Linked DNA regions of Astyanax mexicanus. The protein of the gene in region 1 purifies or fractionates together with the protein of each later gene. This does not show direct contact. Links are inferred from orthologs where the notes say so. Each region holds a gene or a part of one and is shown on either strand. Other genes may lie near its edges. The genes, in order: esyt1a and atl3.

The links.
Region 2: the proteins of esyt1a (region 1) and atl3 purify together in Homo sapiens (affinity purification with mass spectrometry; 3 studies listed by BioGRID and IntAct, with this or other methods). This does not show direct contact. The link is inferred for Astyanax mexicanus from reciprocal best matches to the Homo sapiens genes ESYT1 and ATL3.

The regions. Positions count from the first base shown.
Region 1 is NC_064420.1:2,970,131-2,986,255, forward strand, and holds the start of esyt1a (extended synaptotagmin-1), read right to left. Parts: upstream 5,931-16,125; 5' UTR 5,695-5,930; coding exon 5,398-5,694; intron 985-5,397; coding exon 943-984; intron 1-942. Other genes in the region: pa2g4b (proliferation-associated protein 2G4b), read right to left, coding at 15,869-15,934. UniProt on the Homo sapiens protein: Binds calcium (via the C2 domains) and translocates to sites of contact between the endoplasmic reticulum and the cell membrane in response to increased cytosolic calcium levels.
Region 2 is NC_064417.1:45,869,389-45,885,352, reverse strand, and holds the start of atl3 (atlastin-3), read right to left. Parts: upstream 8,278-15,964; 5' UTR 8,132-8,277; intron 4,289-8,131; 5' UTR 4,263-4,288; coding exon 4,059-4,262; intron 3,514-4,058; coding exon 3,379-3,513; intron 2,508-3,378; coding exon 2,403-2,507; intron 2,295-2,402; coding exon 2,244-2,294; intron 1,590-2,243; coding exon 1,533-1,589; intron 1-1,532. Other genes in the region: si:ch211-145o7.3 (forkhead box protein N2), read right to left, coding at 13,399-13,703, 14,991-15,046, 15,149-15,210. UniProt on the Homo sapiens protein: Atlastin-3 (ATL3) is a membrane-anchored GTPase that mediates the GTP-dependent fusion of endoplasmic reticulum (ER) membranes, maintaining the continuous ER network. It facilitates the formation of three-way junctions where ER tubules intersect.

The DNA.
Region 1 (16,125 bases):
AAAGCAGCATAAAGTTATCCAAAAGCAGTGTGTAAGACTGCTGGAGGAGAACATGACGCCAAGATGCATAAAAAACAGCTAACTGAAAACTGTTTATCTGGGTGAGGTAAAATGCTTATGTTTATTTACAGTAAGCTTAGATTCACACATTTCTCCAGCACTAAGGCTGGAGCATTAGCATTAGCATTAGCATTAATGGCTAACAGCCTGACAGTCCTACACTGAGGAACTCTGAGTGCTCCGGTAAGCCAGGGCAATATTAGCTAGCGATTCGTCGCTACACGGTAAACGCACAGACTACAGGTTGATAATACTCACCTCTGAACAGCGAAAGAGCTAGCACAGTTAGCGGTTAGCGGCTAATGCTGCTCCAGCAGTGCTAGCTGGAGGTTAGGAGCGCTGGAGAATTAAACTAAAACTTTGCTTTGCTGCTCTTTAATACCTGACTGGTAGGATTCATACATAAGGTGCACTGGATTATAAGGTGCACTGATAGTTTTTGGAAAAATTAAAGAATTTTAAGTGCGAAAAATACACTAGTTCAATCCAAGAGCATAAAAAGCACTGCGGCAGGGTGGGGTCCATGAAAAAAGATCATGTGACACAGACAGAAAAAAGACTCAGACAGACTTGAAAGCATGAGCTTGAGTAATACCAGCTCTTTTCGCCTGATGTCCTCGCCACAATCTCTTATTTGTGTCCTACCTCTTTGCTGCATTCCTTCAAAGCACTGGAGCGTTTTTTTACTCAGTCCTGGTCTGTCCTGCAGCTGCTAATAAACAACTCAGAGTCTTAATGTCTTTCTGATGTGCAAAGAGTTCTTATAAGTGTTCATTTTTTATGGAAACAATGGCCAAAAGCCAACAATTTACTACTTAAAACATACTATAATATGCACTACTTCCTTTTCTCTAAAAGTAGGATAATGGTAGGATATCATACCTTATTTAGCCATTCAACTTTCTCCACATCTGGGAAATTAACCTGCAGAGAAAATCACAAAATCAAGTTTGGTCAACACAAGTGTACAGTGGCAAGAAAGAGAATGTGAATTATATGGATTTAAGTAGGGGAAATTCATGATTTTCTGCATAAATGTGTCAAAAAAGTATTGAAAAATATAATCTGCATAATATAATAACACAAATAAATCTGATCTTGCAGGTTTAGGATCATTAGTAAACACACTCATTCAACACTGTTCTGTTTTTTTATGGTTGTTCTCAATAAAGACATGAATGAATCATTAATACCTTTTAAGACTGATTTTATGACACATCTTTGTAAAACCATTCCAAAACCTCCAAAGGGTTCACATACATTTATTGCCCCTGTATATAAAGTATAATGTTTATAGACATATTCATAATTTTTGTTACAGTACAACACAAAAAAACATATATTTACAATCCAACAATATTTATTATGTTCAACAGCGACCCATTCATTTCGGTTTTACAACAACAAATAAAAAAAAAGGTGAAACAGTATAAAAAACATTTTTTTTAAATGTATTTTCTTTTTTATTTAACTGCAGACAGTATAAACCAAATATATTTCATGTTTTGCCTGCTACACATTCAAGAAATGTTGGAACATGCACAATTTAAGGCTAGTAATGAGGTAAAATAAATAAATAATGCTGTGATTTCAAACATGTAATGTCAACACGATTTGGTACACAAGCAGTATCCACGTTGGGGCTCTAAAAGCGGACTGACGCTCAGCCGTTTGATTCTAATAAAATGTTCTTGTTTTTTTGTTTATTACGGGTTTTTAAGGGTTTTTAATCTCCACTTCCTGTCAGAGCCACAGAATTAAGCACACACCTGTGGTTTTGTTCAGATATGAAGTGAGAGAGGAGCTTAACTTCCTGGCGCTACTCTGTCAGAGACAGATCTGTAAGAGCCGTTAGGTGAGGTTAGTTTTGGTGGTCTACCAGGTCTTGGATGGTTATTAGGGAGTTTTTTAATAGGTTTCCCAGCACATATCAGTTGTATATCCGTTCACGATCATGAATTAATCAATTTAGAGAGGTATCAGAATTTTACGTTATGGCTGCATGATATTAGAAAAAAATTTACATTGCCAGTAGTTTAAATAGGAAGTACCAGTGTTGGTCACTTACGAAATTAAGCAGATTAATCACAGAATTACTATAATTCTGTGATTAATCGTGATTAACCACACTTTTTCTCTTTAAAGATAAGCTTTAAATAATGTGTATTTAGGTGTAAATAAAATTGCTTCCCTTCCAATAGGGAAGCTGGAGAAAGTGCCTAAGTAAATAAAACTGTAATTCTTTAAAGAAAAAACATTTTCTTTTAAAGTCAAGTGAGTGCTGGATGTTAATCTACACAGATTTCTCTTCCAAACACTGTTTCTTTGGGTTCGTAAAGTGCTTCCGTTCATTTACAGCAAGCTTAGATGTGGTTAGCGGCTAATGCTAATGCTGCTGCACACAGCCTTAGTGCTAAAAACTTCACTGACCAACTGAAACTAAACTTCACACAGGGTCCATGTACTCATGAATGTACGGAAGCTGAACACTATTACAAAGCCACAGAATAAGAAGGCACAGCTTTTCACCGTACAGAAGTGAAAGAGGATGTGGGTAAAGCTGACCGAATACCAGTGCTTAGTAACCAAAACCCTATTATACAGATGAGCTATTCTTACTGTCCTCCTCTGCACCTCCACCCTGCTTCAGAAATCGTCTTTAAAACGTCTTTATAACAGATTCTTGCCATAGTTCGCTACCTGTACTCGCTCCTGAAGGCTTACGCTACCTCCCGGCCGCTGCGCTCCTCCAATGAACGTCGCCTCGCTTTGCCAAACATTCACACAAAGCAATCCAGACTGTTCTCATACAGAGTTCCCCAATGGTGGAACAAACTACCTTCTACTACCAGATCAGGAGAATCTCTCGCTATCTTTAAGAAACTCCTGAAGACAGAGCTCTTCAAAGAGCACTTACTCTCCTAACACCTCTAACTAACTACCTTCTACTACCAGATCAGGAGAATCTCTCACTATCTTTAATAAACTCCTGAAGACAGAGCTCTTCAAAGAGCACTTACTCTCCTAACACCTCTAACTAACTACCTTCTACTACCAGATCAGGAGCGTCTCTCACTATATTTAATAAACTCCTGAAGACTGAGCTCTTCAAAGAGCACTTACTCTCCTAACACCTCTAACTAACTACCTTCTACTACCAGATCAGGAGAATCTCTCACTATCTTTAATAAACTCCTGAAGACTGAGCTCTTCAAAGAGCACTTACTCTCCTAACACCTCTAACTAACTACCTTCTACTACCAGATCAGGAGTGTCCCTCACTATCTTTAATAAACTCCTGAAGACAGAGCTCTTCAAAGAGCACTTACTCTCTTAACACCTCTAACACACTAACTACTACTAACCTCATTTCCTTCTTCCCCTCCTTCACTCCTCTATCCTATTATTCCCCTTTGACCTCCTTTTATCCCTATCCAAAGATGTTTTACCGTTAAACTTATTTTACATTGTACTTGACTATTGTAAGTCGCTTTGGACAAAAGCGTCTGCCAAATGTAATGTAATGTAATGTAATGTTTTGCCCAGTTCTTTCTCTGCATCTCGTGGTCTGCTGACTCAGATCCTGAAGATCTGATCTTTAAATGTCCAAATATAGCCAGCGCTGGCGGGGCTGTGGAATGTGGCAGCAGTAATGAGGGATGGGGGAGGAGATGAGGATGGAATAGAAAATGATCAACACAAAATAATGAGATCCTGTATGATGCAGCGGCTTTCCTTTATTGTCATTGCTTTATATTGCCCAATGTACACATGATAGTATAGGACAGTGATAAGCTAGTTCCTTAATGGCCATAATAACAACAGCATAACTATAATAATACACTATATGTATGGATAATTAATGCTTAATTAAGGATTATATTTTCTATAGTAACTCATAGCATGATAAGGATATACCATCAGACATTAAAGAAAATCTACACTGTCACCTCTTGTCAGCAGAGCTAAAGACAGTATTTTCTAATTAGAACTTTGTGGTACATCAAAGTAATCTGTGTGGCTTGTGGCCTCTGGACCTATCCAACTCCCTTTTCCCCAAGGCCCATTTCCACACACCAGGTTGTCAGGTATAGAACACTACAGCATGCAATCAATGTGCTGCAGCCATGAAAACAGGCAAGTAGGCTATTTTTCTTGTAAACAGGTAATCGCTGAGCTTCAGTAAGGTTCGCTAACCATAGCTGGGTAATTCATCACTACTACATAAGTAAGTGGAAAACAATTGAGTCAGGAAATAGTCGAATATCTCCTTTGCCATGAGCCAGTAATCTCACAGATGCACGTTACACAAACTTGGTGAATGTGAATAAGAGGTGTAAGCTTGAATTAGCAGCTGTCTTATCCAGTTATATTCAAGAAATCAGAATAGGTGTATACATGTGCTAGGAAATCTGATTATAGAGCTGATTATATTGCCTTAAAGCAATCTAAAGCATCAGTATATCAGTATACTGTTTACGTAACCACTTAAACAATTAGATAACTGCAGAAATATGTACATTTGAACACACAACCTTCTGAACTGAATTGCTATTATGTAGTCAGATGTTCTGTCTTCTAAGTTTTTGATTAAGATGGTTTATTATGAAACAGTGCCCTGTGGTGAAACTTAATGACTCATATTTTCTTAATAGTGGTAGCCATTGTAAACAGGAGCCTTTTTTGTTATTATTTGTAATTATGACATACTGTGTCGTTTCAACAACATAATAACTCATAAAAATGAGATACTTTTTTCATAATTACGAGTTTTTTATTTCATAATTATGACATAGTATGATGTTTCAACAAAATAATAACTCATAAAAACAAGACACTTTTTCATAATTACGAGATACTTTTTTCATAATTACGAGATGTTTATTTGATAATTACGACATAGTATGACGTTCAAACGACAAAATAACTTTCAAACGAGATACTTTTTTAATAATTACGAAATACTATGTTGTTTTGACAACATAACTCATAACATGAATATACATTCTCACAATTACGACATACTATGTCGTTTTAACGTTGCAATGACTCATAAAAACGAGATAGTTACTCGTTATAACAACGTGTGAGAATTAACGTTACTTTTTTACGCTTCGTACGTTAGAGGGTCTCTATAACTCGTGTTTTGTGTCCATATATGTTTTTAAAAAGTGCTGTACCTGATTCTTCCACACTATTTGTTATTTTATCCTAAACAACTGTTATTAAGAATGTTGTACATATGTTTCCCGAGCTGTAAACATCTGCACCACATCTGTACAGACCCCCACAGCTGGGTAAAGCTAGCTATAGCGGCCCCGGCGGAGGTTCTCTTACCCAGGCGGGAAGGTCTCTCCGGCTCCTGTAGAGGCGGCCGGTGGTGAAGTCCCGCTCGTTCTCCTGAGCGTACATGGCGGTGTTCAGCCTCGCCTGCTTACCGTCGCGGTGCTGCCTCCATCCCAGATACACCATGAGGCCGATCACCACGAAGCTCAGGCTCAGCCCGAAGTATCCGGCCAGGTAGACGGGCAGCAGCGCGCCCAGGCACTTTCCGAAGGCCAGCAGCACCGACACGGCGTGCTGCCCCGCCGTCTCCGCGCTTACAGCCGAACCCGCATCCTCTCCAGCGGCCATGGCCACGTCTCTGCCCCGCCAGACCGCTACTCTCCCCCCGCCGCCTCCGGAGCTCAGCTGCGACGTCCGCGGCTCATAAACACGACCGGGCTGGCTGAGGCTATTGAAGGCTGGGCGTTATCAAATTAAAGTATTTTTTAGGATTAAAACAGAAGCTAACTGTCTCTTAAACAAACATAGCAGAGCTGCTGCTTCTGCTGCCGGGGCTGGGCTGGGGTTTTATCTGGGCGGCTGGTGTGTGGGGGTGGGTTCCTGCCCTCACCAACAAGCTCAACCCTCAAAAATGTAGAGCCCAAATACTGCAGTTAGCTGGCAAGCTAGCATATCTGAGGGAATAACAAGCGAACAACGCGTTATAACGTCTTCTTCAGCTTATCTAGCTGTAAAAACAAACATTCTTTAAATAAAAACTCTTCTACTTCAGCTAAAATGTATTTAATGATGAGTCAGTTGGTGTGAACACATGCCAAAAACAGAAGAGGGTGTGAAGAAGCATCAAGTCAAAACAGAAAACTACACTCCAAAACCACACACTGCTGTACACCACCTCTAATAATACATTAAAACGTTTTTTTTTTCCATGTATTCCTTTATTTCTACATTGTTGATTAATATTGAAGATACCAAAACTTTGAAGGAAGACATAAGCAATAATGAAGTGTTAAACCAAAATGTGTTTATATTTTAGATTCTTCTAAATACCACATGTAGCATTGAGAATGAGGACAGATCTGCACACTCTTGGCATTTTCTCAGCATCTTGAAGGGGTTCCTGGAGGTTCTGAACAATAGTTGCATAGTTGCTGCTTTTCTTTCACTGTTTTACTGTTTTCATGCAAAGAAAATAAGTTTATATTCATATATATTCAAAGATTTATGAGTTCAGAAACCAATATTTAAAGGAATAACTATGTTTTTTAATCACAGTTTTCATTCATCTTGGCAGGTTTTCCTCCACCAATCTTACACACTGCTTTTGGATAACTTTATGCCACTCATGGTGCAGTTCAGCTTAGTTTGATGGCTTGTGACCATCCGTCTTCCTCTTGATTATATTCCAAAGGTTTTTAATTGGGTAAAATCTAAGAAAATCATAATGTTTAAGTGCAATTGCAGATTTTTTTTGTTGGGGCCATTTTCACACAATTTTTAAATTTCATTCTTTTCTATTGGTGCATTAATGCATACCCTGTCATTTCTGCACCAGAAAACAAAAAGTGTTTTAGCCACTTTATTAGAAACACCTACTTTGTAACAGTAAAAATAGCAGTAGTGCATGCTACTAGAAAAAATAGATATACATTTCTTGTTTAATTTAAGGTACACTTTCTCTTGCAGTACATTTATAAAGCTTTAGTGCCGCATGTGGGCACACCACCTTTGCGTGCGACTGCAACATCCGTTCACTGTAGAGAGAAAAAAAAAGAAAGAGAGAAAAAGAGAAAGAGGCAGAGAGAAAGAGAAAGAGAGGGGAAAAAATGAGTAAGCACCGAACACACGAAGCACAGCATGAACACAGTCACCTCTTTTCCTTGCATACTGGGTCATATGCCTTAATTCCAGTGTGTGTGATGCCTGAGGTGTTTACATAATAAGAGCATGTGATGAGCCGAGCTGTCAGTGTTTTTAAGGGAGGCTGATAAACAGTGTGTGTGTATGGAACGCCTCTCTGCCTCCAGGGCACTGATCTGTTTATAAAAGGAAGGAATACAGAACAGACAAATTAGTCAAGCACCTATTCCACGTTCATTAATAGTGCTGCAGTGTGTTGAATTATGTGAAAAGCAACCACGTTACAGTATAGATGTATTAAACATTTCACAGGAAAAGCAGGCCTGGCTCCAGGCCTAATCCATCCAGACCACCTGCTCTGTCTCTGTGTTTTTTCCCACTGGCCTTGACATAAATAGTCATGTGCCATTTGAATAGAATTCATTTATAATGTTTGTATGTATTTATTCTTTATTAATACAGTAATACTCAGCTGGGACTGAATGTAAAATGGCAATAAAAGGCAGTGTATCTTACATTTACTTTGAACTTGATTTAATATTTTAATAATTAAAAAAAAAAAGGTGATGTCAACAGGTGATTATATCAGGAGTTGTTAACCCACAGCCCAGTGAGCTGCACAGAGCTAGAGCTGCTGACAAGGGAGCTGTGTCAGACTCTAAAAGTCATTGTAATGTAAAAGTCACTTTTGTAGGTGAATTTAGAATTTAACTTGTCAAAAAACACCAGAATACTGGAAATGGCATCTAATACATAAATAATGTTATGGGGAGGACCTCCCCACATTAAACATGCTTCTGACACCCCTGCATAGACTTTATAGAATGTAAATTTACTTTCTTTCAAAATTTTAATTTATTATAGCTAAACACTACATACAGAACAATTATAATCTTATACAATAATAAAAGCTGTTAAAGAAATGTATATCTATGGAAATGGACTTTAATATGTTTTTGAGATATATATTTTTTGAGAACATTGATTGGTCAATTGAGCTAAAACCGACCAACCAATCATGATAAGGAGTTACATATTGTCAGATTTAACTAATTAAAATCCATCAGATAAAGAAAATTCATATCCAGAAGATTATTATTAGTGTAAGTACTAAAATATAATTATTTTGCTACAATAATAAACACCTCAATAAATTGATTTTTCTTTACTTCATACCCCACGTTAGAGACAGTACTAACTGGTTCATATTTACCTGCTTCAGCGTATCCTATTCTACAAGAAATATTTCTCTGCATGGAGTAGACAAACTGTGTATGCATTTACACATTTGCAGAGAAAAACATGTCATTAAAAACCAGCAGCTGCTGCTGTTTCTTCCAGTCTCTCTAACAGCACATTATGATGCCCTGGATACACAGTATAATCAGTGTGATGAGGTGTGAAGCCCAAAGTTTCCATGCTCCAGTCACAGACCTTCCCCTAACACCTGGGTCATTTTTCACAATACTGTACAGACTTATTTTAATTTTAGACTTTACATGAACCAAATCAAATTAAACATAAATCACTTTATATTTTTACTTTTAAGTTCCTGATGTGCATTATGCCCATCCTGGTATGGCAAGCTGACAAATGTGGATCTTCATAGCAAAAATCTGACATCCCACCCTGTTAAATCATTGCAGGGAGGTAGCTCTTTCACAATGTGGTTGGAACCCTGAAATTTTGTTATGTTTTTTATTACCCCAATATGTTGCAATGACAACTTAAGATTAAACTAAATAAAGACAATAGAAATATTAAGCGAGACTATTATTAATTGTTAAAGATGGAGCAGTGTCTTTATTAAAGTTGATTTTATTGATGTCAAAAGCTTTTTTTTAAGGGATGAGGTTAAGACCCAAACATAACAGGGATGGCACCAATTATTGGACATGTTCAATGATCAAATTCCCAGTATCTAAATGCAATAAAAAGTGTATGAAATATTCAACCACGCATCGCTGCAGCCATAAAAAAGCCACCCCAAAGACTATAAAATGAACAAAAAGTACTTTAAAGTGAAGGTTAACACTCCTCTGTATCAGGAAGTGTGTTCAGTGAGTTTTTTAATGTATTGTTAAACAGAATTTGCAGAAATAACTGGTGTGTTTTCCTTACAAATGTAGTAATCCCTTAAACTGAACAGTTGATATGAAATCTAGGAGCATGCCCTGTACAACCTCAGGGTTACCGGTAGTTATTTTACTGGTTGAGACCTCCCTTTTCGCTCCACAATCCAGTACCCATCTATTACCAACATAATTCTAGAACAGACCTCTCAAAGCACTTAACTAAATGACCTTGGCCTCCACCCACCCAATGCTTCCTCAAGAGAGCTCATGAAGCTTAGTGTTCTTGATGGATCTCTGCTCAAATAAACTGTAGTTTCCAATTCATTCAGTGCCACACATGAATACGTTTTTAAAACAGATTTTATTGGAGGTATTAACAAAAACATGCTGAGCTGGAGTTGTCTGGAATGTCCAAAGAGAGTTCGCAAGGCCATCAAAACCCAAGAGGCAACTGAGCAGCCAGGTGATGAAGATCCCACTGTCAGAAGTGTCTGGCTTCATTCAGGGTAGATGAAGGGAACCTCTTCAGTCGCTCTTTGCAAGACTCTTGCTGAGGGAAAATCCGAGATGATCAGGATGGAATCCAGCTGCAGCAGACAGGGTGCAGTTTACTTAGACCTCTGCCTCATCTTTCTCCTTTTACGCTTCAGCCTATAAAAGAGAATCCATTAGCCTTTCTGCAAACACTAATCACCAAAAACACATTTAAAAAAAAAAAGTCCCTTTAAAATATAACTACATACCTGCGCATACGCTTCTTTCTCCACTGAAAGGAAAAGACACACATGTTATGACATATGTGGATGTACAGCATGCTATACAGTCAAGTCAAATTGCCATCAAAATGAAGCAACTGTTTTTAAAGTATTATAAAGGACTCAATAAGGCCAGGCAAACAGTTCTCTTGTATGCAAACATTTGAATACTATGCATGTTCTATTTTCTATGCCCTCCCTCCACTTTACATTTTATGCATGTGGTGAGCAATGGAACACAAACAAGTTGTGCAATGAAACAAGGCCTAAATCTTCAAGCCAGCTAGTTTACCTTGCTAAACTACACTTTTGGCAATGTTATGGTGCAGTAAGATGTGGAGTATTCCCTTTAACATGGGTCTTTAGCTATGCTCCTGAATAGAGACTCTGCAGCAGAATTTAGCACCAACCACCAATCAATACTGCTCAAGCAATCTCATTATATACATGTAGAAGAGCTTGGTCAGTTAAAATGAGCTAAAAGTGGAATGGAGTACTGGACAATTTAGCGATTTCCTGCACCACCATCTACTCTGGAAAAACATTGTCCAAAAACTAAAGTAAATTAAAAGGGAAACAAATCTCAAACTACAGTCAGCTTGTTACATTAACTACAGTCACAGAGCATGTGCAGGTCTCAAAGTCCAACTGCTGCATGATTTAAAGTGGAACAGAAAGGTCAGTGCAACGATTTAGTTCAATTATCTGACTTTAGGCCAATTAACTCCAGTTTGTACATTTAGTACAGTAAAAAAGGATCATGAATATGTTAATCAAGTTGTCCAATTTTATGGCTTTTTTCCTTTAATCTTTACTCAATATATTAATTTCTCCATTACTGTATCTTGCAAAAGTAGGCTGGATTATACAGCCAGATTTGTTAAGAGGCACAAATTAATAAATTAACACTTTCAGACCTTGCATCAATTACAATAGACATCATGTGCTTTGTTTTCAAATGTTTTGTTTTTTACGACAATAATTAAAACCTGGTGTCCATCAGAATAAATCAAACAATCAAACAAGCCAAAGAAAGTGGCTTAACCTCACCCACTGGACTAGAAAATAAAAATTAGCTCATTTTTATAAATTTTAATTCACCATCATGTATTAGAATACAAATTTGGTAATATGATTTTTATACAACCTAGATTTGTATATTAAGATGGTGCCTAATGCGTGCATTAGACAAAACAGCATTGATATATTCCATTTACAGAAAAATAAATCAGGTCTGTAAAGGTTCTAAAAAAAAAACAATTTCCTGAAATTCTGATTGTGTAGCATGAGTTAATATTAAGAAAATCTGAAAAATGTTTAACAATGAAACAGAAAGACAATCAAACAAAGCCCAATTAATCCCAAATAATAAATAGTCAGTAATAAAGGAAAATCATAATTTGTGGTTAAATATTAACGCTGATCTAAAGGTGCAGTAGGCCTGCAGCACCATTCACCAGCACGCACGCCTTCATGCTAACGCTAAAGCTAATGCTAATCAACCAACAAGCGTGGCTAACAGGGGAAACAGCACGATCTTATCCCCTTCTGACACTGCAGAAGTAAAGATTACGATCCGAATTAAACAACAAAACACGAATTAAAGCTTTAAACTGGTTTAGGCGGGAGATAAGGCCAAGTACCAGCCAATTATTCAGCTCTTTAGGGCTCATTTCTCTGAAGGGAGCAAAAACATTTAACTTACTTCGCCATTTTTATGTTCGCCAAGCTAACTGCTAGCTTCAATGCTAAGCACCATTAAAAGAAATGCCTAGTTTCCACACAAACTAACGTTATGTTAATGAAATGACTTCAAGCATTTAAAAGACGACTTGACATTAATAAACAGCAGAAAAGGCGCTTTAAAAGCACATATTTCAGCATTAGCTGGTCACTTTTCTGGTCAGTGCTGTGAGCTAGGCTAGCCGCATTGCCCCTAGTGAAACCCAAATCTGCACAAATATACAAAATACGGTGATAAATCACTGACTTACCTTCGCTCTCATGTTGGAAGCGTTCCTGTAAGAAAGAAAAAGAGGAGAACTTTAGCGGATGGCTCTTAAACAAGCGAGATTAAACTGGATTGTTCAGATAGACCGGTTAGCCAGTGAAGAGCAAAGAGCTGCCTCTTACCTCCACAAGCGAAGCAACGACTTCAAGAGGGCCTCATAACGGCAGCCGCGAGCTTTTATACGCTCCTGATGCGTCACGCACTCGCCCGCCCACCGAGCGGGATTATGGGTAACGTAGTAGAACAGCAGCATGCAGTGGCAGGCAAAAAATATGCCATTGGACACCCAACGTGTTCACGTCTGATCAGTGTGAATCATTATATAGTATGTAGTTATATATATATATATATATATAATTATATATATATATAATTTTCTTTTTGATGTACATTTGTTGTGATCAATGGTATTATACATTTGTATATAGTATGTATGAGTATGTATCATCATGGTATAATATATAGTATATAGTATATCATCTTTCTTTGCACCCATCCATTTCTCTGATATTTTTTGTTTCAGGGTTGTTTCTGCTGTCAGAGGTTAGTGACATTTTAGTTTGAAGAGGCACAGAAATGTTTATGTTATTGTTTTTTTATTATTAATAGTATAATACAGGAAATGTATGTGAAAATACTTAAACGGGAAGGACGGCAGAAAAGAGGGGTAAAATATGGTAGTTTCCCAGCCAAAACGGGAGACTTGACAGTGTGTATAGTTAAAAAGATATTAGTTTTTTTTTTTTTCCCCATTTTTTGTTTTTCAAAATCTGAGATACGGGAAAAAAATAGAACTTTTAATATTTAATATTTATATTTTGTAAATAAACTCTAATGGAAAATCTGATCCAATCAACATTTATTACATTAAAAAGCCACTAAACCCTAAACCATATTTTTTTCTATTAATAGCTAAAATGTGTTACTTTAAAGTAATGAAACATACCAGCCTGACTCAATTTTTGTTATATAAAAATGCACCCTCTTAGGTTCATCTTTGGTACGCAGACCCTCACAATATGCAAATAAGTTAATCAATAACACCATCCCCCTGGTGACGTCCAATCATCTGCGTCTCACCGCTATCTGAGGAACATTGCTGCTGCTGCAGCTGAGGCCAATCAACTCTACCTTCGGCCTGCCCCTAAACCCATACATCACCCAATGCCCCTCCCAAACTAACCCTCCCATTTTTTAGCAGTTTTCAAATTTGAGCAACTTGCTGGTGTAGTCAACTAAAATCAGGGGGTTTAGTTACCCTTTAAAAGACACTGTTTATACACACAGTGTTCCCTTTTTAGATATCTGAAGGAGTCAGAAAATTCCAACAGTATAAAGATACAGTACAGGCCAAAAGTTTGGACACACCTCATTCAATGCGTTTTCTTTATTTTCATTAATATTTACATTGTAGATTCTCACTGAAGGCATCACAACTATGCATGAACACATGTAGAGTTTTATGTACTTAACAAAAAAAATGAGCTGAACCTCCACAGTCACCGGACCTGAACCCAATCCAGATTTGAGGTTTGGGGTGAGCTGGAGCACAGAGTGAAGAAGACAAAGAGCCAACAAGTAAACACCTCTGGGAACTCCTTCCTTCAAGGCTGTTGGAAAACTTTTCATTTCAGGTGGCCACCTCTTGAAGCTCATTGAGAGAATGATGCCAAGAGTGTGCAAAGCAGTAATCAGAGCAAAGGGGGGCTATTTTAAAGAAACTAGAATATATATATTTACATTTTTGGTTATTTCACCTATGTTTGTTAAGTACATAAAACTCCACGTGTTCATTCATAGTTTTGATGCTTCAGTGAGAATCTACAATGTAAATAGTCATGAAAATAAAGAAAACACATTGAAAAAGAGAAAACGTTCGGCCTGAACTGTACATGACCCCACTCATCCCTCACACGAACTATTCTCCCTCCTGCCTTCGGGAAGAAGGTACCGCAGCATCCGGTCCAGCACGACCAGATTCTGCAACAGCTTCTACCCCCAAGCCATCAGACTCCTTAACTGCAGAGACTGAACTGATGGTTTTTCTGTACATGCACACACACTCTTACCCCACTTACCCCAGAAAATGGAAAGCACTAAAAACCCTACTACCTCACTGGACTCTATTGCACACTGTGTAATAGAGTAATTACTACCTCACCTGGTCTTTTTTGCACACTGCAAAATTTGCACACTGTCTTGTTATTTATTATTCTTTGTCTGTATGGTGTTGTATTGTCTGTCTGCACTTTTGTACTGTTGCACTATTGTTCTGTCTACACTGTGTTTATGTGCACCATGGTCCTTGGAGGAACGTTGTTTCGTTTCACTGTGTACTCTGTATATAGCTGAAATGACAATAAAAACCACTTTGACTTTGACTTTTTGACTTTGACATTATGACTGACTTACACACAGCTTTACAACGAACATCACTCCAGTCTAACTTGTTACTCAACTTGACATTTGCAATGCAAATCTAATTGGACAGGCACAATCGTGGAGAGAAAGTTCTTCAACATTCACTTTCCATTTAAATAGGGGTTTTTGAGAATGCATGTTTTACACCATTTACCCCAGAAATCTTCTTGAACCTTGTTCGGTCCTTAAAAGGTCAGATTAAAAATATTACACTGTTCAAATGTATGTTTAGGTCACTATTTTGAGATGTGTTGCATTATCTCTCATGGGTTTATTGTTGCATTTGAATGTAGGAGTTGCTGAACTACACTGACATCTGATTAGTATTTAAACAGTATTGCTGTTTAAATGGACAATTTCACAACTTTCATTTATTTATTTCGCAGAGTCTTGAAGGGATGAGTTTCTGGAGGTGCTGAACAATAGTTGCTGCTTTTCCCTTACACTTAAGGAAATCAGGTTTAGTAAAAAAAAAAAAAGTAAATAAATAATAATATATAGTTAAAATCATCTTCTGCTTGTGAACCCAATGTCTTGTTTCATTACACCTGTATGCAAAAGGCAAAATATACACTTGTGATTGAAAAAGTCAGAAACCAGACAAGAGTTGCTGTATTGGCCAATTTCATTTATTCATTTAACAATCATAAAAAATGGCAGGATCATTTGGCTGTTAAGGTCAGACTCACAAAAGTGTGTTTCTAATGATTGGGAAATCTAATATGAACAATAAATTGTGTTTGACAGTAGCGACACCAGTCTACATCAATACCCAGCTATGAGGCCAACGCTTCCATTGCAGTCCGTTTTTCTAAATTTCTATGATGCTGTGAGGTGGATGGAGATGATACCAAAGTTTGAGCACTTTTACATAACTAAATAACTTTTACATCTAAATAACTAGAACAGTTCTCCCCAATAGACCAGTCAGTCATTACAAAAGCAAATCAAAGAAGACTCTCAGTAAATTCTAAGTAAATAAGAATTGGCACACTGCAGTAATGACACTTCAACAGTGCCGCCATTTCGCTTTTATTTGCTGCGATTGCTTTTACAATGACAGTTTGTTAGGTAAGAGGGAGAACCCCCCCCCCCCCCCCCTCCGGTACGCACCTGCTGTAAACACAAGCGGTCAGTTAGTATCTAGCACCTCCTTGTCTGTAATCTCCTCTAGAGAAGCCTACCTTGAGGACAACAAGACTGCATGTAGTTGGGGAACACCGGTAACGTGTGAACCCCTATGGCTGTCGGAAAACAGCTAACAGACACAGAAGGCTAGGCCACAAGGCTTCTCAGTGGGGCACGTCAGGACTGGCTTTGACGATTCTGTTCTTTGGGTTGTTCGCAGGACGTCTCTCTCTGTCGGTCAGTATAGCTGGCAGTAGGGGGGCAGGAGGGGTCTACTTGGCAGTCTTCTTCTCCGCCTCCGCTGGCTGTCCAGTGGCATCCTCTACCATCTTAGTGGCCTAGAAATTAAATCAGATTAATATGAAAAGGCATTCTAAAAAATAAATAAATAAATAAATAAATACTAGAGACTGAAAATTCAAATTAAGTGTTTTTGTAAACTTAGCAATTATTTAAGGTCAAACTTTTATTTTTAAAAATCTTTTTCCTGGTTGAAGCACTTTTGTTTTAATCTATTACATGTGTTTAT
Region 2 (15,964 bases), on another chromosome or scaffold:
CCTTCCCTGAAGAGTTAAAACTGTTATTAGTTGCAAATGATGGTCTGATATCATATTAATCCCTATGGATTAAGAATGGGATGCCACTCAAGTTCACGTGTGCGCAAAGAAATTTAAATATATACTTTTCAGATTTTATTTGCCTTATATAAGTTATTTTGCTCCAATCTTTAAGACACATGGTGAACTAATAATATGATAATATGCTTGATCACTTGATAATATAAAATTCTGGTTATAATTATTATTTTTTAAATATTGCAATACAATATTGCAAAACAACAACCGTACATAGTTAATATAGTAAATGTATAACAAAGTATAGCCACATCAGTGTCATTGTGTTATTGCTCGGCGACACTATTCTTTACTTAATGGGCAATGGTTTAGAAAATCATGTAGAAACCATCTGACGTACATTTAAATGCAGAAGTTGGGGTTCCACTTTGGTGCTTAAATGTTTCATCAAAGATCCCCTTTTCAGAACTATATATAGAACTGTTTTTGGTTACGCTGCAGTATAAATCCGGTTGAGTGCGATTCACTAACCTCCATATTAGGTAATAGTAAATGCGTTTGTTGTTGAACAGTAACAGCGGTAATAGTGTGGCATGGGTGAAAGCAGATATCTCTGGATATCTCGTGCTCTGACACTCAGCAGAGATTCTGGAAATGTTAACGCTTTTCCGGATGGGAAACTTTTTATCACTTCCTTCTCTTTTAAACTCCTTTAGTTTATGTTTTACACTGCAGCTTTTCATAACACACTGATTACAAAGCCCCACCATGCATTCTTACAGAACAAAAACTAAAAGCCCACAGCTTCCGTCCTAAATCCAGGCCTGTATAAATCATGATTCATAGAAAGCTACGGTTTCATTATTAAATGCAGAAAACATCAACTTCCTATTCTCTAAACGGCACACATGTATTATTGCAAAATACACAGTGCCATCAATCAAGGGGACATATTATACCTCTTTTAGAATGGGTATAGGTTCTATACAAAACATGTTCATTAAGTTCTTTGCAAAAAATCACTCTCACATTAAAATATCTCAACAGCTCTCTTTGTTCTTGCCAGTTTTAGTCCCTAATAGAATGTGCCGTTGAAGGGCTCTGGCACTTTGTGCAAATAGCTTAACTGTAAAAGAAACACAAAAGTACTTAGAAATTCTCCCTCATTTGCTGACTTGCCACAGACAGTAGGTATAGGTCCCTCCCTCAGATGAAGTCTGCAGGCTAATTCTGCTGTGTACTGTCTAGTGGGTGGGGCTCTGGTGGGGGTGGTGCTAGAGTGGTTCTATGTTTTCCTTATTGTAACGTCACGATAAAGGAGCATCTAAGCGGCTCATAGACGCAAATGATTTCTCACAGCAAAATCTTTCAACTGATTAAAAAAACAGATGGATTAAAATTTTTTGTGCTTGTAATTTTGGGGCAATCGAGACCAAAGTAGAAATACAAAAGCATGCAAAAAATGAGTTTTGCATATTATGTCCTCTTTAATCAATTAATCAAGTTGATCTTACCTGAAAAGGCTTTAAAAAGATCTCATCCATTGCCAGCCGACCATACTCTGTGAACAGCTGTAGGCAACATTAATGGAATTAATGGAACATGAATAAACCAAACCATTTCAACAATACATAGAGCAAAGAGTTGGTTAAAAAAAATCACTGACTCAGATGATACTAAAACCAATGAAATACAGATCAAGGCAACATAATATTGTATTGTATCGTGATAAATTGTAAAAATGTCTTTGCATATTAATGATGCAATATTATCCAGCACTACTAAAAAAGATCAGTGATAATTACATTACCCCACCTCACCACCCAAACAGGGCTTTACATAACACTGCCCCTCCAACTTGGAAATAAAAAAATATTCATAAAAGTACTGTGGTCAAATCAGGTAATTTGAGCATCTGCAGTTCACTAAACATCTATTTCCAGAAATGTTTTTGGGAAAAAAAGCCAAGCTTCTGTAGAAAGAATATTAGAATAGAAAGAAAGTTAGAATAAAAAGCTCTAAAATCTAAAGCAGATGCCTTTCCATGTGTTTTTTATGAGAGCTGAATTTTATTTAATAGATAATATTGTTTTTAAATTTCTAATAACAACAAGCAACAAGCTGGCAAAAAAGCTGCTTTTTGCTCATTGCGATTTAGCTGGAGCTAATATTTTATCAAATATATACCCATCATTTATTATAATATGTTGAATGGTGGGGCAGACCTGAAGCTGCTGTAAGTCATCTTCTTGAATGTTCTGTGACAGGTTATATATCTACAGACAAAATAAACATTTACAATCAAATTAATAATTACATCCACAAAAATAAATAACAACACTTTGTTAGGTTTGAGATGAAAAATGTAAGCATTGTGATTATACCTGTATTGAGCTGGTCATGGTGCTAAGGGCAAAGATTGTAGCACAATCTTTCACAGTGGACTGATTATCAAATGCTCCTTGTGTGTCCATAAGCAACACTGCCACCTTGAGAACAAAATATGTAATAAACTGTTAATACCCAAATTATTCACAACCCAGTCACAGCCCAGTTAGATTTTGTAAATGTTACTCTGTGGGCCAAATGGGGCAAAACCATGTATTGCGCTATCTAGACAGAGAACTATTGCCCTACTGATTGCCCCAACTCTGAAGTCAGACCTTACACAAATCCAGATTGCTTAATCTCAGTGACCATGAGTCTAGAAAAATTAATCTACAACTAGCCACAATGTACTGAGTCATAATTACGTCCGCTGATGCTCTAAACACATGCAGATAATTGGGTATTATTACAAAATCCAAGCCAAATGCATTCGAAAAGAGGTACCTTAAGTCACTATACACAATATATAAACTACTGCAGCATATACACTTCAAATACAAGTACCACTTTAAACAAAGTATATTCATTTATTAACTATATAAACGATATCTATTTATATCTATATCCATCCACTAGTTACATTTTACATACATACATTATTAATATATATATATATATATATTAATAAATGTATGTAAAATGTAACTAGTGGACTAATATATATATATATATATATATATATATATATATATGGAGCAGTGCCAGCCATGCTGCCGGAGTTTTATACTGTATCCACTCACTATTCCCCACTATTAGAAAAAAAGGACGACAGTATATTTTGACAATGTTGACAGTATATTTTTGTCCAGCAGTGACATGGAGGTTTTTAAAAACATCAGCAGCACAGCTGTGGATTACAGAAGTACATAGTGCTCCTATAGGGCCAGTGGAGCTGATCAAATTGACAGTCAATGTTAAAACAAGGAGGTGGTCATAATATTCAAATAAACAATATTTCAACATTTACTGCACCTGTTTTCCATTGCTTTTCCTCACAACGAAGACTTCACTCCAGAGCTGGATGCCAGTGGTCTCAGGCTCTGAACCACCTCTCCAAGAGAATCCTGTCAGGGGCTCATCATCTCGTCCAAGCCAGTCGTCACTAGACTGTCACACCGGAAAAATAAATGATTATGCCTGTGTTCAAATCTTTAAACATAGTTCAAATAGACAGTTTTTATGGGTAAAAAAAACAAATTTAAGATTACTTTGAGATTAAAACATTATGAGACCAAAATTGAATTTTCTGGCCTAAATGCTCTGACAAAACCATGTGTGGCAAGAAAATAAAAGCACACATCACACTCAATAGACCACTCCCACTGTGAAACATGGTGGTGGCAGAATCATGATGTGGGTATGCTTCTCTTCAGCAAGGATAGCAAAGCTCAAAGGAGCTAAATACAGGGCTATCTTGGAAGAAAATCTGTTAGAGGCTGCAAAAGACTCAAGACTGGGGTGGAGGTGCACCTTCCAGCAGGACAATGACCCAAAACATATTAACCTTATTTCTAGAAACCAAAACCAGTGTCTGTGCCGACAGATTGAATGTGGAGTAAGAAGAAAAGTGTAAACTTGTTTTGCGCAAACCTAATTTTAAGTTTGTTTTCCAACCTTTGTTGAATGGATTGTTCTGTTGTAAGTGAACTAACCTTCCGGTACATGTACCGAAGCATGAAGTCCAGGAGAAAGCTCTTTCCCTTTCGAAAGGCACCAGCAACAGAAAGCACCACTACATTCATGTCTCGGATCTTGGGCACCAACAGAATCCGTTCAAGCGCTTCCGTGTCCAGGTCAAAGGAGTGCTCCTCCTTGTTGACGGTCACTATTTGGACCGGTCCAGGTTCGCTACCCATCCTGGTCTTCTTCTGCAGCACTCTTTCTGTCAATAACAAATAGAGTGATTTGAGTAAGGAGTTAAATACACAAAATTGCATAGTCTGTTTTTCTAATTGATTTATTTTCAAGGAATTAAGCTCAACAAATCTAACTGAATTAAGTACATCACAAGATGTCACAATTTTTTTCTGGAAGGAACCATTTGAGACAATGTTAGGTCTGTTGGTTTCATGGATAACGTGTGATGTAGCAGCTGAGAGGTTAAAAGCATGCTGTGCTCCACTCACAGATTCTACACTCCAGTGAATGAGTGTCTTTGTATCTGCCATTTGGACCACCCTCATCCGTGGGCAAATGAGTACAATCAACACTGCCATGCAATAATTCCCTCTTAAAAACACAGTCACTTACTTTAACACATTTACAGATGTGCCATTTGTGAGATGCACGTTATCAGCTGGGAACGAAGCCTGAACGTCTGGCTTCATTCATAATTCAACCACAGACCTGTAAACACCCACCTACCTTTTGTTGCATGCTTAAAAATGGTGATGATAGTAGAGTGAGGTGTGGTACATAAAACCACATGCGAGAACATGCCTCAAATTCTTCACTGATGAGAGCCCGATGGAATCTCTAACTATAAAGTCACAAGTATCTTTACAGCAAGGGGGGCATCCAAAATATTAATCTATTAATTTTTATTATATCAAGCAATATGAAGTGGTTCAGGGGCATACATCTAAAATTGCTTGTCCCCTAATGCTCATATTTCTTAGTAAAATGTTTAAAGATACTAAGCTACAATCATGGTAACATTCTTACGTTATCATCAATCAGATGTGTATCTTCCTGAAGGGTACATAAACGTAGTAGTTAAAACACCCAGTTAAAATGTATTTTTTTTTTTTTTATATTTTTTAATTTTCACTGCAATAACAATAAAAATACTAATGTACAGCACGAGTTTGGGAGCACTAACTAAGACAATACATATTATATTAAAAAAGGTAATTTAGATTATTAATTTACAATAAAAATATAAGAATATGAATAAATTTGTAACTAATTATTATTAAATATAAATATGATAAATTATTTTCAGTATAACTAAAGCTGTTCTGTGAGAACAATAGTGATCAAACAGCATTGTGAAAACCAAGGAACACACCAAGTAGGCCAGGGGTGGAAGTTGTTGAAAACAGTAAAAAAGCAGGATTAGGTTATAAAAATATCCAAGCTACGCATATCTCGCAGAGCACTATTCAATGAAGGACCTAAACTAGAGAGCATTAATTAGAGAAGCAGCCAAGAGGCCCATGGTCACTCTGGAGGAGCTGCAGAGATCCACAGCTCAGGTGGGAGAAACCGCTCACAGTAACTACTAGTAATGACCTCCGAAAATCTGGCTTTTATGAAACATACAGCCAGATCTACAATGGAACCAAAATGGCTATTCACCTTCAATCTTACTTAGCTTGACTTTTTGCAAAGAAGAATGGGCAACATTTTCAGCCAGTATAGATGTGCAAAGCTGGTACAAACAAACTTTACAAGATCTGCAGCTGTTAATGCAGCACTTCACACAGCCATACACTGTAAAATTATTATTAGCTGTTATCATACAGTACAAGTCAAAATTTCCTTTTATGGTTTGTTTTACATAATATGTGTAGTACTGAAGACATTAAAGCTATACAGGAACACATGGAACAGGCCTGAATTAAAAAAGAAAAAAAAAATGTCTGCCACACTTACCCAACACAACTACAATAGTAAAGAAATAGTAAAGAAATAAAGATGAATGAACACACCTTCATATACCTTCAAACACCTTCATACTCCTTAATACCCCTTCATACACCTTTATACACCTTTGCATGCCCTTAAACACTGTCCTGTACTGATGCTCTCAGGAGGTTCAAAAGCTATATGTCACTTAGAAACTTCATAAGTTACAAAGATGGATAAAGTTTTCTCAGCTTCTTAAATGAGTTTCTGTAGGTGCTGAACAATAGTTGGTGCTTTTCCTTTATGCTCTAGCTCATCCCAAATTTAGGTGAGGGGATTGTGGAGGACAAACACTTTTTTGGAGTAATACATAGTTCCATATGTTTCCCTGATACAGCCCATAAGCCCCCTCTCTTTCTAAACCTTGATCCACCAGACCAATAACATACAAAGACACTAGTCTGGGGTGTTTAATTTTTCCATTAAAATAATCCCAAACAAACTTAAACATAAAAAACCAGAGAAAAGAAAATACAATAAATACAACATAACTCCCCAACCCAAAACATACACAAACCCCCAAACGAAATAGAGTACACCCCCCTACACCCCCTTCCATGCTAAAAGGTTCCAGCTGAAGGTACAGGATTTTACATAACCTACCAATGCACAGTAACAGTCAGTTAATTGTCTGGTATCTTTGATATTAAACTACAATTTGGAAAATACATTCAATTAAGAAATAAAGAAAAAAAAAACACTAAATGAAAAGAGGTGTGTCCAAACCTTTGACTGGTGCTGTAGCTAGCTTACATCTAAAAATGTGGTCACACTAGAAAGCAAAGTTACAGAAGAGAAGAGGTGATAATTATAGCCAGCAAAAGATACTAGTGCTTTGGTGCGTCACCTGAAGTTACACCCAATCCAGCACATTCTTTTTCCCTCCTGTCAGATTCTCAGAGGTCGAGAGAGAAATTGGCGTGGCTCTACAAACCCCAAACCATGGCCACCAGATACGTGTCAAGTTTGCATACTTGCACAGGAGTTAACGTCCAAAAAAGTACATGAAAATCCTCCACAGATAAAAAGCTAGAAAGGTGCAGCTGGTCACATTAGTTAGTTAACTACCGTAGCTAAAAAATGTAAGCTAGCTATAGCTTAAAACTAGCGCAGTTAATGGGTAAGTTATCTAACTTAGCTAAAAAGCTATCTTAACTAGCTATATAAACATTGCTCTCACATAAAGCTTCATTAAGATAGCTAGCTAATAGGGGTGGGCAATATTATATCGTATACAATATATCGTGACACAGAAATATCATGATATTAAAAATCCATATCGTGATAATAGGGCTGTTCTGTCTTAAAAGTAGTCTATTATTTACTGTAAAGCTTTAGGTTTATTTATTGTATAATTGTTTTAGTTTGCAGTTTATATGCATGCACTTAATATTCTGCAATATTATTTGCTGCATTATATTATTTTATGCTATATTATTTATTTTGCCACATTATGATTATACTGGTATACTATTATACTATATTCCTGAAATTAATTAATTATTTTAGTTTCCCTATATCGCCAAGTATAGCGTTATGCAAAAATACCCTGAAATATCGTGATATTATTTTAGAGCCATATCGCCCAGCTCTACTAGCTAAGCTAGTCACGTTTGCTAAATCAGCTAAAAGCTAACTATTCCTTATGTACTGTAAATTTAGGAACCCTATTTATGTTTACTTAGCTTGGTTAGCTATCTTATCTAACTAGATCAAATAAACGAATTTAATGCGTGTATTGAGAAAACACTGCAGCCTAGCTAACCTAGTTAACTAGATTAGGTTAATTAACTTAACTAACTATCTTAACAACTCAACATATTTACACATAGCTCCAACTGTTCCTGAATTAGTGTTTTAAGTGTTTTAAGCTCCAGCAGTCAACAGCACCATAAATATTTAACTTTTAACTACGAACGTTAGCTAACAACGCCTGTCAGCCAGCACTTCATAACCCAGCAAGCTAAAAACTAGCTAGCCAAGCTAGTTAGCTTTTTTAACCATACAATTAATTAGGTTAGCTAACTAGCTAACCTACCTGTTACATCGGTCGAAGACTGAAACGTTAAAAACAGCTAAAGTTTGTTTAACTTACCCTATTTTAATGTAGTTATCTGAGAGTACTGAAGCTGGCACAGCTGCTCTCTGCTGTTCCGGAGCAGAGGCTCAACCCAGGTCTGGAAATAATAAAAAGAAAAGGAACTTTTTTTCCAACCGCGAATCAGAGCTGCGAATGTTTCCAAAGCGAAGGGCATTATGGGAGTTGTAGTTTATTTGAATGTGATCGCCTCATTCCCACAGTCACACTTCCACGCTTTAGGAACTACAGGTCCCAAAGCATCCACGTGACTGACTGGAAATCCTAGCAAGCTACACTTTCCACCAGCAGGGAGACACACACACACACACACTCACACACACGTGTATTATAAAACATAGTATGTGGTTGTGTTTTTCCCCATTTTTTTACACACACAAAAAAATCTGCAATCAAAATTTTTTAAAAATCTAAATTTTTAAAATAATTAATTATTTTTTGCAATTATCTGAAAACAGTTATCTGTCTCGGCTTTCATTTTTGTTATTTTCTGCTCTTTTCTGAAAATCTTTTGCTTCTGAAATCTCCCATTTGCTTCTGCTTGATTTTTTTCACTTCTATATGTATATAAACTGCAATTTTGATTGCAAATTTGATATTTTAACCTATAAAAATCTCCTTCACCATTTGACATTGTTATTGTACAAAGACAAAATACTCTCAGACACACACAGCATGAAATTGCAACCACATAATCTGATCATCTCTCTCAGGCAAGGGACAGATGAGTGACAGGACAGAGGAACTTAAGCTGAGGTCAATGCCCCTGTGGTTCCGCCCCATATTTTTAAGGAACGAGCATTTGTGGGATGAGCAGCAGAGCTGAGTATGTGGGTTGCGCCCATAGAAAAAATATGCCAAATCGTCTTTGCCAACAATTTTGGCAGGGAGCTTTTGGTACCCCCAGGCGCAGCACCTGTGAGCATGGGCTCTGCTACAGTGGTCAATAGGTGTCTGCTCCAAGAATTTGTATGCTATTGACAGATCTGGATAGTGCCTAAGCTGGTGGTCTGCAAAACCAAGTTAACATATTATTTGGCGTGATGCCAGTACCAGTATCTCCAAATTGAAGGCCTCATCTGCTGCTGCATATTCCACAAATGCATGTTCCTTACAAACGTGGCATAATTTAAAAGAGAAATTAACAGGCTTTCCAACAGTAAGATTTTGAAGCATTGTTACAACAAAGAAATAATCTACCAAACACAGATTTTTTTACTTTATGTGTTATGTTTTTTGGGGGGGCTGTCAAAACAAGTAGATTAGTAGATTACTTTTAGAGAGAGTGAGGTGAGAGTGAGTGAGTGAGTAAGGGTGAGTGTTCAGACCGCCAGAAGTAAAAGCAGTCTACTTGTAAAAACTTTTGCCAGACTCTTGCTGCCTTAGGGAGTGTCTACTAAACATACCACAGTGAGTCACACATGGAGCAAATGAGCAGTTTTGCCAGAATAAACTGGGACACAGAGTTCTTCAAATCTAGATCGAATACAGATTCATGGAAAGATGTTTTAGCATAAAACTCAGTTTTTATCTATAAAAAGTAATGCAGTTTTTCTTAATTTTTTTTTAAGTCTCATTTTAGATGCACTATATTGCCAAAAGTATTCGCTCACTATCCAAATGCTTGTATTCAGGTATTCCCAACACCTCCATGGGCACATGGAGACTGCTTCTACAATGGGTCACTCTCAGGAGCTCAGTGAACCCCATTGTGATATTGTGATAGGATGCAGCACCTGTGCAACAAGCCCAGTTGTGAAATTTCCTCATTACAAAATATTCCACAGTCAACTGTCAGTGATATTATAACACAGTGGAAGAGAATGGGAACGACAGCCACTCTGTGCTCTGTCAGTGTAAAATAACAGAGCGGGGTCAGCGGATGCTGAGGAGCATAGTGCACAGGGGAAACATTTAGATTAGATTAGATCAAGAACAGTAGAGTGTAGAGAACTTCATGTCCAAGCAGCTCCATCCAAACCTTACATAACAAAAGTAAGGCAGGCTATGTAACAGCTCTAAAATGTAGTTTAGTAGTAACATCAGATCTACAGATATTAAGATGAATAAACCCAGTCTGACTACACATATCAGATAACATGTCCACGTGGGCCCTGTATAGTTTTTTTTTGTCTATTGGTGTCAGGCCAGCCTGACAGCCATGGACTTTATTTCATTGACTCAGAACTACACATCCCAGAATTCCCCTGTGCTCTCTACTCCGGACTCTCCCAGTCAAGTGCCACTGCCTCTCACTTACTCTCCATCCTTCTAATTACTCTAATTGTTCTCACCTTTGATGCTCTGTATAAATACCCCCCATTTCCTGTTCCTGTGCAGCATGCATATGCAACTCAGAGTGACCTACTGTATTTAAAAAAGAATAATAGTTTAGTTTAGTTAGAATTATAGCCAAATGAAACCTTTCAGATGAATTGTAGCCACAGGGCCCATTTAGGAAGCCTAAATGAGCTCCCCAAACAATACATGTACAAACCCACTCAGAACCCATGCCCACCTGGAACCCACCTGGCCCATGTTCCAACCATGTAAACCCTATATGAGCATGTTAGCTGGGATATTCTGGGATATATGGATATATTTTCTTCTGTATAAAAATAGTAAAAATAGTATTTTTTTTTATTTTAATAGTAAACCTATAATTACATTTGCCAGTAAAACTGAAATGATAAAAAAGTAAAAACGTAATTATATATATATCTGTTACTGATTGTTCACTGATAAAAATGTAATAGACAAAAAAGTGAAAGATCAAGTTAATCTATAGTAACACATAACCTGTCAAAATTACAAAAATAAATCTGATATTATTGCTAGTAATAATCCATAGCTTATATTTAAAATAAGAGATTTACTAGTAAAATCAGAGTAAGGCCTTGTATGACTGGTGTCACTTTAAACCAAAAACAGCTTGACATACAGATCACATGTAGCATAGCTATCAAAAACAAACAGTTTCATTTCAAATATGGGTCTAAAATAATAAAAGCTGAGACAAAGGTGGTCATCACTTCAGAAGTTTATTGCCAAGTGCGTTACATATAAACACAAAGAGGGGGCATTTTCATTCAAACTGCTCAACACACTTCTAAACAGTTTAACTAAATGAACAGAAGTGAATGTTAAAACAGTTCAACTGCACCTTGTTAATAATCAAACAAAGATTAGACATTACATTTTCTATGCACATCCTAAAGAAGATGTGGAGCTGCTGGCAGTTTATTTCAAATACAACATATTATAATCTATACCATCCAGAGTTCATGAATCAAGAATTCAGTACAATCTGTTTAAATTAATGATCTATCTCTATTAATGGAAGTGCACTAAGTCTATTCTCTAACAATAAACAGTGCTGTCTACACAATTAAATAAACAAAGATATAAAGATACTGTTGTTGTTAAAGGGCACTTGTTATATATTTTACTTTTATAGTTTATTTTTGGTGTTTTTTTAATGAAAAAAATAGGTCTAATCTATTATTTGTATTATGTTTTGAATAGCATTTTCAAACCTTGTTTTATCATTTATAATAAAACAGGTGTTTTCTGCTAATGTACCTTTAAGTGTGCTATTCGTAACTGACTGTTTATTATTGTTCTTATTGGCTGTTTTGTTCAGTGCCTCGTTCAAAAAACAAGTACAAGCTGAAACACTACTTATAAGTCTAGTATGAAGGGGAAAGGGGGTCTGTAGTGCCGTGGGCTAAATGAATAGATATACAATATCAGTCAAAAGTTTGGACACACTTTTGCATTTATTTTTTCTTTATTTTTCTTTACCTCTAATCTACTTTGTAGATTAATATTAAATTCATGAAAACAATTAAAGAAACACATATGGAATTACATAGTAAAAAAGTGTTAATCCTCCACATTAATCCCCTGATCTAAATCTGATGAACTGAGATGGTGATTTGATTTGATTTGGGATGAGCTGGAGCTTTACAGTGTGAAGGAAAAGAAGCAACTATTGTTCAGCACCTCAAGGAACTCCTTCCTTTAAGACGCTGAGAAAATTATTCCAGGTGACTCTCCCTCATGAAGAGACACTGAGATTAAAATACCAAGAGTGTGCAGATCTGGCTTCAAAGATAAATGTGCTTCTTAGAAGAATCTAAAGTATAAAACTCTATATTCTGGTTTGTTTAACACTTTTTGTTACAGAATAGTTCTGCATGTGTTCCTGTATAGCTTTAATATAGTCTTCAATATTAAATTAACAATGTACAAAATCAATAAAAGAAAAAAGGCACACTGAATGAGAAAAGATGTGTCCAAACTTTTAACTGGTACTGAGCGGATATTTGTGAAACCAAAAAATAGATTAAATTGAAAACCGTCTGTTCTGCAGTTTATTTTTCTTATGTGGACAGTATGTACTGGAACAGTTTAAAACCAACTAATTAATGTTGCTTATTTTTGTTCTTTACTATAATTTTATTTCTAATTTTTCCCATTTTCTCCCCAATTTACACAGCCAATTACCCAACCCACTCATTAGGACTCCCCCTATCACTAGTAATGCCCCAACACACCAGGAGGGCTAAGACTAACACATGCTTCCTCCGTAACATGTGAAGTCAGCCACCTATTCTTTTCGAGCTGCTGCTGATGCAGCATTGCCGAGCAGCATCACAGCGCGCTTGGAGGACAGTGCAGAGACTCGGTTCCGGTACATCAGCTCACAGATGCCCTGTGCTGCAGACATCACCATAGGAGTGATGTGGGGAGAGAGCGCCATCTACCCATCCAGAGGAAGCAGGGCCAATTGTGCTTTCTTCTAAACGCCGGAAGTTTGAAGGCAAAGCTGCATGAGCTGGGGTTCGAACCTGCAACCTCCTGCTCATAGCACTTTAGACCGCTGGACCACTCGGCCTTATTTTTGTTCTTTAATCATTTTATTGTGCAAAACTCAGTCATCCCAAAGCAATTTATGTTAGTCTTTCTTTTATTTCTTGTACCTTATACATGTGTGCATGCTATACACACTACCTAAAAGCTGTATGGCCAAATCCATTTTCTCCTGAAGTTACCTGTTATATCACTCCAACCATTATTGTTCAGTAACAGCTGCAAACGCTGCGCATATATAACACTATAATAACATAAAATTCAGGCAGTTTCTTTAGAAAAACAGTCAGTAACAAAAGCAAAGGAAATGATGTAAAAGGCATGACAGTTGATCCTATTCATCTCTCCATTAAGATGTTTATACTTAGCTGACAGTGGCTGATCAGTGATCAGTGATTTCCTCCTGCCAAGTCCAGCAGTGATCCTGCAGCCTCCTGAGCCTCAGCATCAAGCTGCAGGATCTCAACAGTTTCCAGGTCCAGTTCCGTATCTCCTGGTAGAACCAGGTACTGGTACTGCTGACACTGGTAATAGTGGAACTCGATGTAGCCGCTGTCTGCGAGCGGGTCCTTCTCCGGCTCTTCACAGGCTTCTTCTTCCAGTTCCACCGACTCCATGGCAACCAGCTCCTCGTGATCAGGGATCAAAGAGCAGGATGGGTCGGAGGACAGAGGTGGGTTATTCGAATCCAGGTCTGTGTAATGGAGCAGAGCAGAATTTATACAGATTTATACAGGAGCAACAATACTACACAACTGAAGCTAACTGAAGCTATAATTTCTATCAGCAGTGCTCACAGCAATGCTTGCATTTAAATCTTCCCATAATTTTAACTCTTCCTTCTGATCTGTGCTTAAATCAGAAATGCAATGAAAATTTGGCAACCAAAAACATTTTGCAACCAATATTAGCAAATATCTCACTACTCTCTACTTTAAAATGAATGGATTTAAGCATTTTTATTAGTTTTAATAGATATATTGTTTTATTTAACCTGTTAATTTATTAAAAGAGCTGTGAGCAATCTATGTTAGGACCATTTAGCTGAATACATTTTAAACCAACAAATGTGAAAAGAAATTTCTGAGGGGAAACCTTTCATTTTATTTTTTGCATACAGTTTGTTAAAAGCTGAAATGCAAGGTAAATAAATGTTACATTTGCGCATTTCTTACATGTGTATCTTTCTGTAATTTAGAAATACGTTTATCAGCATTGGCAGATATATACATGCATAGGCCAAGGGTTTTTCCAAATCAGTACACTGAAATTCATGATTAAAATGGCAAAGCTGAGGTAAACATATGACTAAAATAGCACTGTAAATTTGAAATATGTGTCTGTTTGGGATAAAAAGAAATGCAATAAATATTTTTAAATTGAAGTTTTGTAACTGTTATTTCATTACAAAAGGAAAATAAAGATAAACTATATTTAGGTGAAACATGTAGAAAAAATAATAAATAAAAGTGTTTTTTGTCAGATATTCAACGTTTGGCCAAATGTGTCACTTTGTTCGGTTTCGCTGCATCTCTAGTTTACATCAAGACTGAATGAAGATTAACGAGCACTTCATGAAAGCATCTGTCTCACTACAGCCAGCTGTTTCTATAGGGCAGAGGCTGTAAGAAAGAGGAATGCAAACACGGGCACAGGCCTGAAAATCACTTTACATAAGCTCCGCACTAAAAAGCACAGAAATAAAGAGGCCAGCCATCATGTCGTCCTGGCTATAGGTTGCCACGGCAATGCCAGGTTGTTGTCAGGACAACAGAACACAAACGCCTGCTTAGCAAAAAGTGGTAAAGGGGAGGCCGAGCATGAGATAAGGAGAAACAACTGCTTTACTAAGCTCATGGGTAGTTATGGTGTAAAAGGAGATATTTTAATTTGCATAATATTTTACACTTTTTATTTTTATACGGTAACTCATTAAATTACTACTTTCAAAATTTCAAAGTGAAAGTCATGAGTGCCCAACCTGAAATTTCTGTAGTGTCCATAATAACAGTCTGTCCATACTCAGCTGCCTCCAACCTGGTCCAAAAATAAAAAAATATTATAAGTTTGACCACAGAACATAGTTAATAATTTTATCATAAAGATATGTTTTTAAAAATAACCATCAGAAATACTTACAATGTGCGGCTGTTCAGTAAATTGCTGCTGCTACTGTGACAATAATAGGTTTTCTTAAGTACCTGAATAAATGACAAATGACAAAAGGTTTTCAACTAAATCTTCAGGCCAGTTTTAAAATAAAAAAATAAGAGCATATTTTGCAATTGTTCAAACATTTACAATATCATGCACACATCCTTTTATACCATAGACTGTATATAGCTGGACAGAGCATCGTCTCTTAAAAGTGAAGCCACCACAGGTCGGGCGCCCCCTGCTGTTCGGCTGCAGAAAGCTGTGTAACTCCACCCATCCCCATAGGTTTCAATGGCAAAACAGACAACTTTCAATCACGTTTTTTTCTAATATACTGTAATTCTACCTCCATTATTTAAATGCAACAGCTAGTGTAACCTCTGCTTATATTGTCAAATTTTTATATCCCCACAGAATTCGGTTTTTAAAACTTTATTCGGCTCTATTCAAAAAAGGTGTGGTTATGGTAAAAGGGCTGGTTATGGGCGGGACCAATAACAGACCGTCAGCTCCGCTCCGCCCCGCTCTGCAGTCTGTGACCGCGAGGCAGCCCTCAGGGGCGGGGTTATTTAAATGAGTAGGCGGTCTCTCCACAGTCTTTCTCCCTCCTCTGGTCTCTATTGCGCAGACTCTGGTCTCTGAATCGCCAAAATGGCGGAAGATTTTGGCTTCATTTTCATTGAATGAATGGGAACGGCGACACGGCGTCCATCTTTATATACAGTCTATGTTTTATACTTAAATTTTAGGGGGGTTCATTCAACTATATGTAAAATGTCATGTGGTGCAACCATGATT